Oryctolagus cuniculus: one gene and its partner. The protein of the gene in region 1 interacts with the protein of each later gene in a pairwise test. Links are inferred from orthologs where the notes say so. Each region holds a gene or a part of one and is shown on either strand. Other genes may lie near its edges.

Region 1 (7,334 bases):
TTTTGACTTTCATCACTTTCTCTGATAGTCTCATCCTTGACTGATGCATGAACAAAAGTAAACACATGTTTATGTTTATGTTACACATAAATGTTTATGTTACACACCTGGGCTCTTTTTTCTCTAAGTTCTTGCTGTTGCAGTCTCCTTTTTTCTCGTTTTTCTTGTAATTTTTCTACTTCTTTCACACAATTAGATTTTCTACGTGCTGAAAGAAAAAGATAAGCTATAGAAATATAGTTTTCTTTGTAGAGTACTGTAATTACAAACATTTTATGTGTCCCTTCACCACACAGACCAACAAAGAATACAGTGATGAAGCATGACTTTAACAATCATGTGAAATTACTTATGAGCTGCTTTTAACAAAACTGGGAACAGGACAATATACAAATGAGAGTCAAGAAAAAATGACTCAAACATACTGATACATGTCATCTCTTGGTTTGGGATCACAGATTTTTCATTGAAAGGAACAAGAAACACAAGATTTTCTTCTATCTCACTTGAAAAATTATCATCTGGCCAGAATTTTAAATTCAAAGCAAGTTAAATATTCTAATTTTATATTTACAATTTTTTCTCCAAGATGCACATTTGGAAACTCAATTAACAGACTAAGGTAATGAGAAAAAATTAAATTTTTCACAGTAGCAAAACAAAATCTGCAATCAAGTTTGTAAATGATTCTGTTTACCATTTGGGGACTTATATATAAAGGTGACCAAGAGAGAATACATGTATGTCTAAAATGACTGAATTCTTTGATATGTAATTTACATACAAGGGGGTCCAAATTCCTTTTTTGCAGCTTGAACTGGAGATATATCTGAAACACTACCATTCTGTTGTGCAGAAGACGACTGCTCAGGAAGCTGACTAGGCCGTGCACGTGCAGAACCAACCACTGTGTGTGAAAAAATTTAAATTAAAAAACAGAAAATTAGTAAAATTTGACCTTGGTAAAAAGAAGACACACCTAAAAGAATCTGAAACTTAAATGCTGCATTAGCAGATTACCAAGTTTCCTACTTATATATGCGTTAAGAGAATATAGGCAGTTTCTGTCCAATAAACTGACATAAACTGAAAGAGGTTTTCAAAATACTATGCACAGACTTACCTTCCACCAATGCAATTTTAGCTGTAATACTCAACCTGGATAATTTACATAAAAACCAAAGTCAAACATGATTTTTAATAAGCACTTAAAAATTGATTGACACTATTTAGATATATAGAACATAGAACTGAAAATTCCTTCATTGCTTCCAATATTCCAATATTATTCTTTATTCCTCAAACATAAATCTTCAGTAGAGAATATAGGTATTTCCCAATGTAGATGTTATAAAATTGGAAAAAGGAATCTAAAATTAAATATAAATAACACATTTTACAAAGAAATGCAATTTTTCAGAAGACTCAGATAGTCTTTAAAGGAAAGACTTTTCCTCTACCTCTAAGGTCTCCTCTACTCCCTCTGGCGGTCCTGTTTGACTAGCCAAAGACACACAGAAACATTATCAGAAAGGGTACTTCTGAATGGTTAAATGTAGAAATTAATTACGCTTTACATCTTATGGCTGAATACGGAAGACTTGTAGTTAACTACAATTTATGCCAATTAAACTCTGTAACTGATTCCAAAGCTAACCATTATCCTTTTTTGGAAGCCCTTTAGCCAGAAAATCATGGCAAATGTGAAGATTAAATACATTCTTGGAAATTCTATCAACTGACTCCTTGCCAACTGCTTTCCTTCTCATACACTCTCTTCAAATATACTGAGTAGTTGAAATTAATAAAAGATGACATTTAATGGGGTTTATATTCATCACAGCCATTTATAAGTCATCTTTTTTTATGGACATCACTGCACTAGGATATCAGGAAGATACCACATTTTAAAATGAATCACATAAATTTAAATGAATAACAACATCAAGGATGTTTAAGTAATTTTTTAAAATTTACTTTTATTTATTGAAAGCCAAGAGACAGAGAGGGAAAGGCAAAAGAGGGAAAGAAGGAGACAATAAGATCCTAAGCAACATTCTGAACTCTGCACCACACACCTGTTCCAGTATTTACTTTTGGTTTTCCTTATTAAGGACATACTAAGAAGTAGACAGGCAAATTAAGAGATAAATTTTTACTTTACCTCTGTTATCTCTTGGGGGAGGGTCATTTTTAATAGAAGCCACAGTTCGTCGATTCTACAAAAGAAAAAAAGTTTGCTCTATTTTTTCTCTTCATGCCAGGATTTCATATTCTTTGACAGGCAGAGTTAGTGAGACAGAGAGAAAGGTCTTCCTTCTGTTGGTTCACCCCTCAAATGGCTGCTACGCTGGAGCTACGTCGATCTGAAGCCAGGAGCCAGGTGCTTCCTCCTGGTCTCCCACGCGGGTGCAGGGCCCAAGCACTTGGGTCATCCTCCACTGCACTCCCAGGCCACAGCGGAGAGCTGGACTGGAAGAGGAGAAACCAGGACAGAAGCCAGTGCCCCAACCGGACTAGAATCCAGAGTGCCGGCGCCACAGGCAGAGGATTAGCTTAGTGAGCCGCGGCACAGGCCAGGATTTCATATTCTTTTAATTAAACAAAAAGCAGACATATAGTAAAATAAAATGAAATTGAAAAAAAAAAAAAAAAAAAAAAAACCTCAAAATTTTCTGATGAGTTACTTCCATAGCTATCAAGTCAGGTTCCTTTATATATTTTTCTTCCTCCCCCACACCCAAATAACATTCAGAAATTAATATGAGCCGGGCCCTATTCTAAGGACTTATTATTAACTGTGCTTATGGTGCAGTGGGTTAAAGCCCCAGCTGCAGCGCCAACATCCCATATGGGTGCCAGTTCGAGTCCTGGCTACTCCTCTCCGATCCAGCTATCTGCTATGGCCTGGGAAAGCAGTGGAAGATGGCCCAAGTCCTTGGGCTTCTGCACCCGTGTGGGAGATCTAGAAGAAGCTCCTGGCTCCTGGCTTCAGATCGGTGCAGCTCCAGCCATGGAGTCCAACTGGGGAGCGAATCAGAGATGGAAGACTCTCTTTCTCTCTTTCTGCCTCTCCTTCTCTGTGTAACTCTGATTTTCAAATAAATAAATATTAAAAAAGCAAACCAATAAATCCTTTAAATCTACTCTCCACAGCATACCAATTTCAAAGCAGTGCACACTTGTGTATACACACACACACACACACTCCTTCCTCTAAATTTCATCACACCAACCTTTACAATTTTGTTTACTTTGGATGAAGATGTTGGAGGTGGAGCCACTTCTGGACTGGGTTCAATTTCTTCATCAGGTACGAGGTCAGGATTAAGTGAAAAGATGCTTTCCAGGTCAATCTATTTAAAATTGATATTGTAAAAGAGTATTTTGACAAATTAATCTTTTATTTTTGAAATAAATTTAGACAGAGTAATTCTTAAATGAGTTCAGCATAATGAATGGCATTGCTTTGCAAAATAATTATTTATAATTATAGTCCATATATATTTAAAATATATCTCTTAAAATAGTATATAATCTGATTATATAAATAGCTAACACAGTGACCAACAGAACCAATTAGTTTTACAGTAACTTTCAAATGTTTTGAGTTGGGTTAAAATAGTATATTTCATCTAGTATAATAGGAGTGACATGTGCAATTACAAAAGGTATGTAAGAAAGAATCTGATTGAAAAGTTTAATCATTTCAAAATTTTCAAGAAATTATAAAGAATACACATACTATATGAAAGGTACACATTTTTGTGTTTTCTTGACTGCAGGACTACAAATAGAATTTAACTTAATGATCATACCTCTTTGCCTTTTGTATCTCCATTTTCTATCCATTCAACAGTTACACTTTCATTATCTTCATTTAAAGATGTTACCATTGCTTGATGTATTCGGCCTAAGTGGGAATAAAATACATATTTTTAAAGCTACAAATTACGGCATTCCTAAACACTGTCAGATATATTTTTATAACTTAAAAAATGATTTAATAAATGACTACCGAACACAGAAAAAAATCATAAGCCAATTTAATACTATACTTATATATTTTCACTCATCATTTTTAAAAAATTATTTTTTATCCCATACTGTGCAAACCGATGAGATTGTTTTATATATTCTCAAAATAGTCATTTGAAAGGCAGTGTGACAGAGAGCTAGCGAAGAGACAAAGAACAAGAGGTCTTGATCTGATGGTTCACTCCTCAAATAGCCAGAAAGGCAGGGGCTGGGCTAGTCCAAAGTCAGGAGCACCACCCAAGTCTCCCGCATGGAAGGGGCCCCAGTACTTGGCTCATCTGCTCCTTTCCCGGGCATACCAGCAGGGGGCGGGATCCTGAACCAGTGCCTTGATATGGGATAGCAGAGCCCATGTGCACCTGAGGAGGCACTAGTGATTGCTTGAGTAACTGGGACACTGCTGCCCATGTGTGAGACCTGAACTGAGTTCTAGGCTCCTGACTTCAGCCCGACAAGCTTCAGCTAGCTGTTGTAGGCATTTGAGGAGTGAAACAGTGGATGGGATATTTCTGTGTTTCTGTAATTAAAGTAATAAATAAAATTTTAAAAAAATCAAATGTTCTCTTTTAGACGTTATCTATCTAAATCTATTTTACTCCTTACTTTGCCTGACCACTCCAGTCTTCGCTTTCCCACTCTTAAAAGATTGTATATCTTACTGGTTAACAACTATAGAGCCGGGGCCAGTGCTGTGGCATAGTAGGCTAAGCCTGCAGTGCCGGCATCCCATATGGGCACCAGTTCATGTCCCAGCTGCTCTTCTTCCGATACAGCTCTCTGCTATGGCCTGGGAAAGCAGTGGAAGATGGCCCAAGTGTTTGGGCCCCTGCACCTGCATGGGAGACCCGGAAGAACTATCTGCTCCTGGCTTTGGAATGGCCCAGCTCCTGCCATTGTGGCCTTCTGGGGAGTAAACCAAGCAATGGAAGACCTTTCTCTCTGTCTCTCTCTGTAATTCTACCTCTCAAATAAATAAATAAAATCTTAAAAAATACTATATAGCTAAATAATTTTAAATTATTACCTAATATTCCATTATATTTATCACAAGAATGTTAACCTTTTGGTTTTTAATGTTTTCAAGGTTCGTTCCCAGGAGATTTTTAATTATTATCATTTATTTATTTATCTGAGAGGGGGGAGAGAGAGAGACCCTTCCCAAGTGCCTGTAATTGCTAGGCCTGGACTTTATTCAAAACTGGGAGCTAGTAACTTGACCTAGATGGTGGTAAACCAATCACTTGCACCTTCACTGCTGGATTAGCAGGAAGCCACTGAAGTCAGGTGTGGGGAGCAACTCGGACTAGACTAAGTTACTGGAATTAAGACTTATTCTATGCATCTGCTCTCCCACAATATGGCACTGGGAGAGGAGAAAACAATTTCTACACAGCTGCCTCTCGCCAACTTGACTGATGAGCTGCAGGAGCTGATCTTGCTCCTGATTGGAGGAGAGCAGCGTGCTCGGCGTGTGGGTAGCAGAGTTGGGATTGGTGGAAGAGGACTATAAAGGAGGAGAGAGACAACATGCACCAGGAACATCCGGATAACATCTGAGCAGCCCCCGAGAGAGCCGGCCGGCGGTGTGCCGCTCCCCCGCAGAAGCGGGGAAAGTGGCAGGGGGAGCCGCCCCTCCACGGAGGTGGAGGGGTCGGCAGCCAACCCGGGAAGGACCAGCAGCAAACCCGGGAAGGGCCGAGCAGACAAAAGAACAGCGCAGGGTCTAGTGTCGTTCCTCCATGAATGGGGGAGCGACAGTCAGGAGTCAGGAGTCACCCCTAACCTAACTCTCATGTGAGATACGAGAATCTTAACTGCTACCCTAAATGCCCACCCTGCAATGTTTTTACTATTATAAACAATGCAACTGAGGCCAGCGCTTTGGCATAGTGGGTAAGCAACCGCCTGCATATGCATCCCATATGGACGACAGTTCAAGTCCTGGCTGTTCCACTTCGGATACAGCTCTCTCCTATGGCCTGGGAATCCAGAAGATGGCCCAAGTGCTTGGACCCCTGCACCTGCATGGGAGACCCAGAGGAAGCTTCTGGCTTTGGATTGGCACAGCTCCTGCCATTGTGGCCATCTGGGGAATAAACCAGAGATGGAAGACCTCTCTCTACCTCTGCCTCTCTGTGACATTGCCTTTCAAATAAATAAATGAATGAATAAAATCTATCTAAAAAAAAAAAAAATAAAGCCACTGCCTATAGTGCTGGCATCCCATATGGGCACTGGTTTGAGTCCCGGCTGCTCCACTTCTGATCCAGCTCTCTGGTATGGCCTGGGAAAGCAGTAGAAGATGGTCCAAGTCTTTGGGCCCTGCACCCCTTTGGGAGACCTGGAGAAGTCTCTTGGCTCCTGGCTTTGGATTGGAGAAGCTCCGGCTTTTGCAGCCAATTGGGGAGTGAACCAGCGGGCAGAAGACCTCTCTCTCTCTATCCTTTTCTCTCTGTGTAACTCTGACTTTCAAGTAAATAAATAAATCTTAAAAAAAAAAAACCCAATGCAATGAATACTACTATATATCTGTTATTATACATTTGTCAATTATTTCCTTAGAACAAATTCATAAACATGCACATTTTTACTTATTTCATCAATTTCCACTTATTCTTCTATTTAGCAGTCAGCAAAAGGTAGGAACTCTGTCTATATCTGTATCCTCAATATAACCTAATAAAATGTTTAACACGAAATTTTCATATGAATTTCCTAATGAAATACTTAGGGTACCTATAATTTACTTTAGGATAATTTACAGCTCTTTAAATGTCTAAAATAAAAGATATGCAGGTCCTCCAAAAAGTTTGTGGAAAACTGAATTAGTTTATTTAGGTGTAAAAATGTATATTTATGCATAGTTTTCTTCTTCTTCTTCTTTTTTTTTTTTTTTTTTTTTTTTTGACAGGCAGAGTGGACAGTGAGAGAGAGAGACAGAGAGAAAGATCTTCCTTTTGCCGTTGGTTCACCCTCCAATGGCCGCCGCGGCAGGAGCCAGGAGCCAGGTGCTTTTCCTGGTCTCCCATGGGGTGCAGGGCCCAAGCACCTGGGCCATCCTCCACTGCACTCCCTGGCCACAGCAGAGAGCTGGCCTGGAAGAGGGGCAACCAGGACAGAATCCAGCGCCCCGACCGGGACTAGAACCCGGTGTGCCAGCGCCGCTAGGCGGAGGATTAGCCTAGTGAGCCACGGCGCCGGCCAGTTTTCTTCATAATACACATTTCTTGTGAACTTTTTGAAGATCCTTGTATGTAGTACATAAGACAATATTATTGTAATAAGGCATAGGGTAT
Region 2 (8,056 bases), on another chromosome or scaffold:
CCAAATGACCGCAATGGCCAGAGCCAGGAGCTTCTTGAGGGTCTCCCACACTTGTACAGGTACCCAAGCACTTGGGCCATTATCTACTGCTTTCCTAGGCCATAGCAGAGAGTGGGATCAGAAGAGGAACAACTGGGACATGAACTAGTGCCCATATGGGATGCCAGCGCTGCAGGCCAAGGTTTAGCCTACTCTGCCACAGCACTGGCCCCTATTTCGAAGTTACTAAAAGGGCTATTTACAGAGATGTGGGCATGGTCGTGGAAATCAACAAGGGACAAGGCAGTACCCCATGGACTGGTAGGGTACCCCAGGCCATTAAAATAAAAGGAAGGAGTGGAGAGGGTAAGAGTACTGAGAAAGTCCAGTAGCCATGTGACTCAGCTGTGGGAATGACCATGACCTTACTATTTTTTGGCCTACAGTGTCCTGCAGATAATTCCCACTGCCAGAACCCATGCCGATACCAAGTAGGACAAAGGAGCCCATTGGTGCAATCTCAACAGGTTAGCCCTCCCTGGCACTAGAGCAGGGGGAGAGGGTGGAGAGTGGATATGGAGGGGCAACAACAAGATAGGTGAGGGTGTTTCAAAGAGGAAGTTATGGGGACACAGGAGTTACTTGTATGCATTTGAAAGGGAGACAAATACCAATTCCCTTCACTGAGTTAGTGGTGCACACTGCAGTCTGATTCTGAACACTCAGTCATCCTCCAGTTCTTCCTTCTCTGCAAGCAAACCATGTTTCCATTAAAAAAAAAAAAGCTCTCCATTAATCCTTCCCCTTTACCTAAGAAATCCCTATATGACTTTTCACTTAAAAAGATGACAATGAAAAAAATGAAGCAACCATGGTTAGGTAGCCCATGTAAATCAAACTTGGGAGAACCAATCCATATTACCTTTTCTCAACTGACTCACCAGTCTTTAATCCATGTGTATTTGAATAGAGAGTAAAATAACGTGTTCTGAGTCACAGTCACAGTGAACTTGTTGATAGGCTTTTGTAAAAGGAGGCAAGGATTACCTGGCAGGACTCCAAAGGGCTGATTACAACAAGAACAAGTTGGTAGTTTGTTTTTTTTTTTTTTTTTTTTTAAGATTCATTTATTTATTTGAAAGAGCTACACGGCGGGGGGGGGGGGGGGGTCGGTCTTCCATCTGATGGTTCACTCCACAATTGGCTGCAACAGCTGGTCTCCTACGTGGGTGCAGGGGCCCAAGGACTTGGGCCGTCTTGTACTGCTTTCCCAGGTCATAGCAGAGAGCTGGATCGGATGTGGAGCAGCCTGGTCTTAAACTGGCGCCCATATGGGATGCTGGCGCTTCGGGCCAGGACATTAACCTGCTGCCCCGTAGCACCGGCCCCGGTAGTTAAAAACACAAAGCTTTACTCATAACAGAGCTGGTAAAAGTGTCCCATCTCAGGGATATAGATGGAAGTAAAATTCTCACTTAATCACAACTGGATTCAGGAGGTGGATAAGGGTCTGATAAATTAGAGATTACTGATATGGAACACAAGTCTTATTGTTTATAGCTGCTGAATAAATAGATTATTAGCCTTAGGGAAATAATTTAAGTTAAAAACAAAAAGTGGGTAAAGCCGCTGCCTGCAGTGCCGGCATCCCAAATGGGTGTTGGTTCAAGACCCAGCTGCTCTGCTTCCAACCCAGCTCTCTGCTATGGCCTGGGAAAACAGTAGAAGATGGCCCAAGTCCTTGGGCCCCTGCACCCACGTGGGAGACCCTGAAGAAGCTCCTGGCTATTGGCTCCTGATCCAGGCAGCTCTGGACGTTGTGGCCAATTGGAGGAGTGAACCAGCAATGGAAGACCTCTCTCTCTCTCTGCCTTTCTCTGTGTAACCCTTTCAAATAAATAAATCAATCTTTAAAAAAAGCGAAAAGCAAACAAAAAAACACCCCGTAACCTCAAATTTAATGTGATTTAAGTGAAACCCAAGGGAGGTGGGAATCCCAGACATTATATGTGCGTGGTTTGGCAGCCTTAAAGGAACCAGGAAGAATTCCTCCCAAATCCTTACAGGGGTGGGGGAAGGGCTGAGAAAAAAAAATCTGATTGAATTGAATCTCTGCTCAGAGACCTTGTACCCGCACATAAACATTAACTCATAAATAAACGCACATAAAACCAGTATCATGTCTAACTGAATTTGAGAGCCATACAGAAGCTCCTATCGGATTTATCATCAAAAAATTTGTACTACTTTAAAATTCATTCTAGTGAAAAAATATAATTCGTCATCAAGTGTTAGTCCTTCAAATTATAGGGATACTGAATAAAAAAGTTCAAAAGCGAAATATTAGCTGTTTCACACAAGGGCGCTTTAAAAATATTTCAGTTTGTGGGTGGGAATCAGGGCAGGGAAGTGCAGTAACTCAAATTTCGGGGCAAAGGTTTCATAAACAATTACCTACAGATAACACCGCTTTCACTGCGTTCCTGGCTCCAGATTCCAGGTCACCGCGATGCCCCCGAAGCGCCAGGGAGGGAACTTTCACCGCGCTAAGGCGCTGGGCGCAAAGGGCACAGCGGCCCGGTCGGAGACCCCGGCCCACGCGGGGGCACCCGGTGCTGGTGGGGGTGGCGGCCAGCACCGCCCCAGCGCCCTTCGCCCAGGGGCCACTCGGTCCCGGAGCCTAAGGGCAAATCGCCCGGCGGCTCCCCCAGCGCCACGTGCGCCACCCGCCCCGCACCGCGCCCGGGTGGCGGTCGTCGCCGCCGCGGGAGCCGAGCGCGAGCCCGCCGGCGAGTCATAGAGGGCCGGCGGGCGCCCCGCCCCTGCGCTCACAGCCCGGGCGACCGTCACCCGCGAGCCGGGAATCGCCCGGTGCGCCCTCCTTCCCCTCGGCGGGCCGCTGGGCGGGGCCGGCCCTCAGGGCGGGCGGCCACCTCGCGCAGCGCGGCGGCGGCGGCGGCGGCGGCCGGGGTCGGGGAGCAGCCACGTCACGCTCCGCGAGGAGGTCCCGCCCCGCCCCTCGGCCCGCCTCCGCATGCCGCCGCCCCGCCCCTCGAGCAGTTACCGGCGCGAGCGGCTTGCGCCTCCAGACGCCGCTAAAGGTCCTCCAGCCCGGCTGCCGGCTCCTCCGCAGCTGCCCGCGCCAGGTGAGGGCTCGCGGCTCCCGGCTGCGGCGCCCGGCGCGTGTTAGCTGGCTCTGGGCGTGCGCCGCCGACGAGGGCTGGGCCGGCGGGCGGTTAGCGCTCCGTTCGACGCGGGCCGGCACGCCGGGCGCTGCGCGGCCTCGGCGGGCGGCGGTGGCGGCGACGGCGGCCGGGCTCTCGGGTTCTGTGCCCCAGGCCGGCGCTAGTCGGTGCCCCGGCGGAGCGACGGGCACCCGGGCTCCCTGGCCCCGGGCCCCCCCCGGCTGGGGTGGCTGGGGCAAGGGGACGATGTCTGCTCGCGCCCCGGTGCCCGCCGTTCACTCTCGGGAGGATCCGCCCGCGGCGGCCGCAGAGAGGGAGTCGCGGTTGGCCGCGGCAAGCCGGCAGGCCGAGCAGCCGCCCCCGCCGGATCGAGACGGGAAGGAGGCGGCGAGGGAGGAAAGGGCCGCGGCCAGCACCAGCGCGGGGGCGCGGGGAGAGCCGTCTCCGGTGCCAGTGCTGGGACACAGCGTGCCCCAGGCGGCCGTGCCCGTGAGGCCCCTGTCCCTGCACCTGGCGCACAAGGCGCGCGGGCCCGGGGGCCCCTTCGGCGGGGAGCCGCTGCCACCGCCGCCGCGGGAGCCGCCGGCCGAGGACGCCCGAGATGAGGCGGCAGCGGCCGGCCCCGAGGAAAAGCTGCCGCCGCCGCCACTGCCACCACCACCGCCGCCGCTGCCGCCTAAGGAAAACCCCTGGACCAAAAAGCCTCCCCAGCACCTGTCCCCCGCCGGGACGGGCCCGCCGCCGCCCCCGCTGGAGACTCTGGAGGCAGGTCTGTGGCTTCTCCGCGGGGGGCTCGGGGAGGGTGCGGAGGGGCGACTCCTGGACTTGGCCGCGCGGGGCTGGGGGAGGGGCGGGCCCGGCTTCCCTGTCAGTCGAAGGTATTTCTTGCCAAGGTGTCATTCACGATACCCATTTACATAAATGGACATGTGGGAAGGGAGCGACAGGAAGAGGTGGGACCTCAGGTTCTCTTTGACTGATGGGGGCACGGAGGGGGTAAACTTGGCAGCGCGGCCCCGCTGGCGCGGCCCAGAACTGTGTGAATGAGTGACTCGGTAAAGTAGCTTTAACTTTGGATCGTCAGCGCGGTTCATTCTAGGGGGGAAATTTGGGCGGATTTGTAAATAGATTTACAGCAAGTTGGAGCAAAGGAGATTTATTTCCAAGTGGAAATGCGATTGTGATGTTTTGTTGATAAAACGGAAAAAAAAATCAAGGTTTTCAGAACACTGCTAAGGAGTCATTGAACATGAGACCCTGAGTGTGGTGGCTCATAAAGTGCTTTGGGCGATGATTGTGAGTGAAAATAATTGAAACAGGATAGTTTGACACAGGAGAGAGAATTGCACGTTAGGGAAATTGTGATCTAACATTCTGTGAGCTCTTATTCCCTTTTGAGATTAGATTGTGTGGTCAGCATTTGAATGCTGATCTATGCAGTATGGCCCTTGGTGCTTTATTTTGGTTGCAGCAACTACCCTGGTTGTTTTAAAAATGGAAAAGCTAGATAAAATGAAAAGGCAGTGTCTTTCATTTTTGCCATGTTAAATTATAATGAATTAATTGAGCTTTTGTGTAGACATAACAGCTGTTTTCTTGCAAGGCTTTGCTACTTAAATTTAAAGGTTAACAGTGGAACAGAAAAAAATTTGAACACTTTTACGGGGTTGTGAGAATCAAATGAGATGAAGGATGTGGTGGTATAAAACATAAGGCGGTTGTTGTAAACCCACGTTTCTTCCCAGGAACTCCAGTAGAGGGAGATAAGTGTTGACTTCACTGAATTCTTTAGTTTTTGTACAGAAATGCACTTCCTTCCTTCGTTGTTCATTAATTTCCATAGTTGGAGCAAACATTAAAATTGGCTGTAGGTTTAATATTAGTGTAATTCCCTGCTGCCTGTTACTTATTGAAGAGAGTAAAATTTAGCAAAGAAAGCAAAATCTGAATGGCTGTCTTACCTCCCTACTTCTAACCTTAATTATACATTATATCGGGTAAACACCAGAAAATGAATTCTTGATTGGTTGTAAAACCAATTTTACAGGTTTTAAGACTTAAAAGTGACTTGGGGGTTTTAATTGCAAATGATTGGTGAAAATATTTCAGTTTAATGTCCTAACAGGTGCCTTCCTACTCCAGTGTTCATTGAAGATTAAGAATTAGGTGATCCTTGATGTATGGTGGGATTCACGAAGTTTCGGTTTTGTTGATGTTTCTGTAGGAAACACTTTGTGTCTTTGGAATCCATTCTGTGCACCCAGGAATACTGTTACTCTTACTGGAAGCAGTGTATTAACTATAGTCTTTGTCCAGTGTGGCCTGCACTGTTCTACAACTTTTATTTGCAGTTGAGTAACTTAGCTAATTTAGATAAGAGGTTGTGATGTAGGAATGCACTGTGCTGAGACACTTGGGTACTCACTAACTAGTTGACTTCTGGCAAGATTTTTGGGCTTTGTAAATGGATAAGTTTCCTAATACCAGAGAACCATCTGTATATTTACCTGTGTACTTTAACTTCCTATTTTCCTAAACAAGTTTATAACTTCAAGAATAAAGAAGGTTATTTAGGGTTTAGAGTAGGTACAAACCAAGAAGTGTTAAATTAGTAATTTATTGGTAGGGTACTTGTAAAAGTTAATCTACAAAACAGAATACTCAGAAAGGGAAGCATATTAATCATGCTTTAGCAACAGAGTTAAGCCAGGTTTGTTTTGGCTGAACGGGGACCTTCTGTTATTCTGCTAATGAGGTAAAGGAATTCTGTGCCCAGAATTTTGCCAGAAAATTTATTACCGAGGTTGGAAACATAGGGGAGTATTTCAGGGGATAAATCTTGAATTTTCTCTGTATTAGTACCTGCAGACCTAAATGAAGTGGGCTCTTGATATCTTTGTGAGACTTTCTTCCACTTGTAGGGTGTTCTGGAGTGTATTGATGTTGTTTAGAGATCCAGGGAAGGCACTCAGCCAAAGCCTGACCCATCTGAGAGGCTTAGTGCCCTTGCTGTCTTGAATTCAGTTAGGAGACCAGAAAGAACTTGGCCTAATCTGTGTCTTCATGTTGTGTTAAAATAATTTTATTTATATTGGAGACTTTTTAAAATCATAATATGGAATTTATTAATCACTTGTAGCTATGATTTTATTTTACATGTTAAAAATCTGCTTTCTAATTTCCTTTCTTTCACTCACAAAAACATAATATCTAAAAATTTTTTTCTTCTATTTCAGCTTTATTCTATTTTGATCCTATATTGATTGCTCATTAATTCTCTTTTCTCCCAATGTCTACTTCTCAGAAATCTCAATTATGTTACTCTTATTACTCTAATGAAATAACAGTTAAATTATGTAAGTAATCCATAAATATATTCTATAAAAATAGAACTTCGGATGTCCCTCTCCTTCAAAGAAAGTAATCACCCGTTTACCAAATATCTTTTCAGGACTTCCTATGACGTTGCTTCTAAATATGTTCTGTATATGTGTTTAGAACATAAAATGTCTATTTTTTAAGTGTTAATTGATCCTTTTTAATCTAAATTTCTTTCAAAAATTGCAGAAGAGTAGTCCATTAACTTAGCAAATAGGTTCCATTTTCTTATTTAAATGGAGACAATTAGCATTTTTATGCATACCTCTTGGGATGCTGGTATGCCTTTGTCTAGGGTAGATGCTGAGAAATGGAACAGTTTGGTCACAGGGCTGTTCTATGCAAATTGATACTTTTACTATATGGGAGTATGAGAATGGAGTCTATACATTGTTAAACATTTAAAACACTCACTGTGGTGGGGCTGGCACTGTCACATAGGGGGTAAAGCCACAGCCTGCAGTGCAGGCATCCCATATGGGCACCAGTTCAAGTCACGGCTGTTCTTCCAGTGTCCTGGGAAAGCAGTATAAGATGGCCCAACCAAGTCTTTGGGCTCCTGCACCTGCTTGGGAGACCTGGAAGAAGCTCCAGGCTCCTGGCTTCGAATCAGTGCAGCCCTGCCTGTTGGGGCCATTTGGGGAGTGAAACTGCAGATAGAAGACCTCTTTCTTTACCTCTGCCTTTCAAGCAAATAAATCTTTGGGGGAAAAGAATTCACTATGGCAAAAGGGCACTTTACCACATTTCCCCCCTCAAATGATAAAATCATGTGAAATACTATCAATGCTTTTTTTTTTTTTTTTTTTTTTTTGGACAGGCAGAGTGGACAGTGAGAGAGAGAGACAGAGAGAAAGGTCTTCCTTTTGCCGTTGATTCACCCTCCAATGGCCGCCGCGGCTGGCGCAATGCATTCTCTTAAACTCTGCTGCACTGAAGTTTTCGTTTAGAGAATTGAAGCTCTAAAAAATTTCCCACAGTTTAAGAATAATGTTTTAAAGATACTGGAATATTCCTCAAAAAAGCATCTCATCCAATGGTTTTTAAAAGGTAGACACATGTGGGTAACACAGCATGTGTATTTTATATATATTTGGAGGCACTGGTACCTTAAATTTGTTTTTAGGTCTGTCTTTTTTTTTTTTAAATTGTTGTATTTGAAACAGTAGCACACACATACACGCAGATTTTCCTTAAGGTGGTTCACTCCCCAGTTGGTCACAATGGCCAGGAGCTTTATCTGGGCCTCCCATGTGGGTGGCAGGGACCCAAGCTCTTGGACCATTTTCTGCAGGTTTTCCCAGGCATATTAGCAGGGAGCTGGAACAGAAGTGGAGCAGCAGGGACAGAAACTGGAACCCATATGGAATGCCAGCTTTGCAGGTGATGGCTTTATACACGGGCTATAGCACCATGCTGATACTTTGCAGTTCGTTAAAGTTGTATTCGTATTTATACTTTAGGTATTGGATTTTTTTTGTATTTTAAGATGTATATATGTGCATATGAGAAGA

What was found.
Region 2: the proteins of KIF2A (region 1) and LARP1B interact in binary tests that used the Homo sapiens proteins (3 or more experiments, as listed by UniProt). The two-hybrid records come from large-scale screens. The link is inferred for Oryctolagus cuniculus from reciprocal best matches to the Homo sapiens genes KIF2A and LARP1B.

Annotation. Positions count from the first base shown.
Region 1 is NC_091445.1:83,170,630-83,177,963, reverse strand, and holds part of KIF2A (kinesin-like protein KIF2A), read right to left. Parts: intron 3,914-7,334; coding exon 3,819-3,913; intron 3,357-3,818; coding exon 3,237-3,356; intron 2,220-3,236; coding exon 2,165-2,219; intron 908-2,164; coding exon 785-907; intron 209-784; coding exon 108-208; intron 1-107. UniProt on the Homo sapiens protein: Plus end-directed microtubule-dependent motor required for normal brain development. May regulate microtubule dynamics during axonal growth. Required for normal progression through mitosis. Required for normal congress of chromosomes at the metaphase plate.
Region 2 is NC_091439.1:36,675,028-36,683,083, reverse strand, and holds the start of LARP1B (la-related protein 1B), read left to right. Parts: upstream 1-3,125; 5' UTR 3,126-3,410; coding exon 3,411-3,933; intron 3,934-4,114; exon of another isoform or gene 4,115-4,219; intron 4,220-7,342; exon of another isoform or gene 7,343-7,925; intron 7,926-8,056.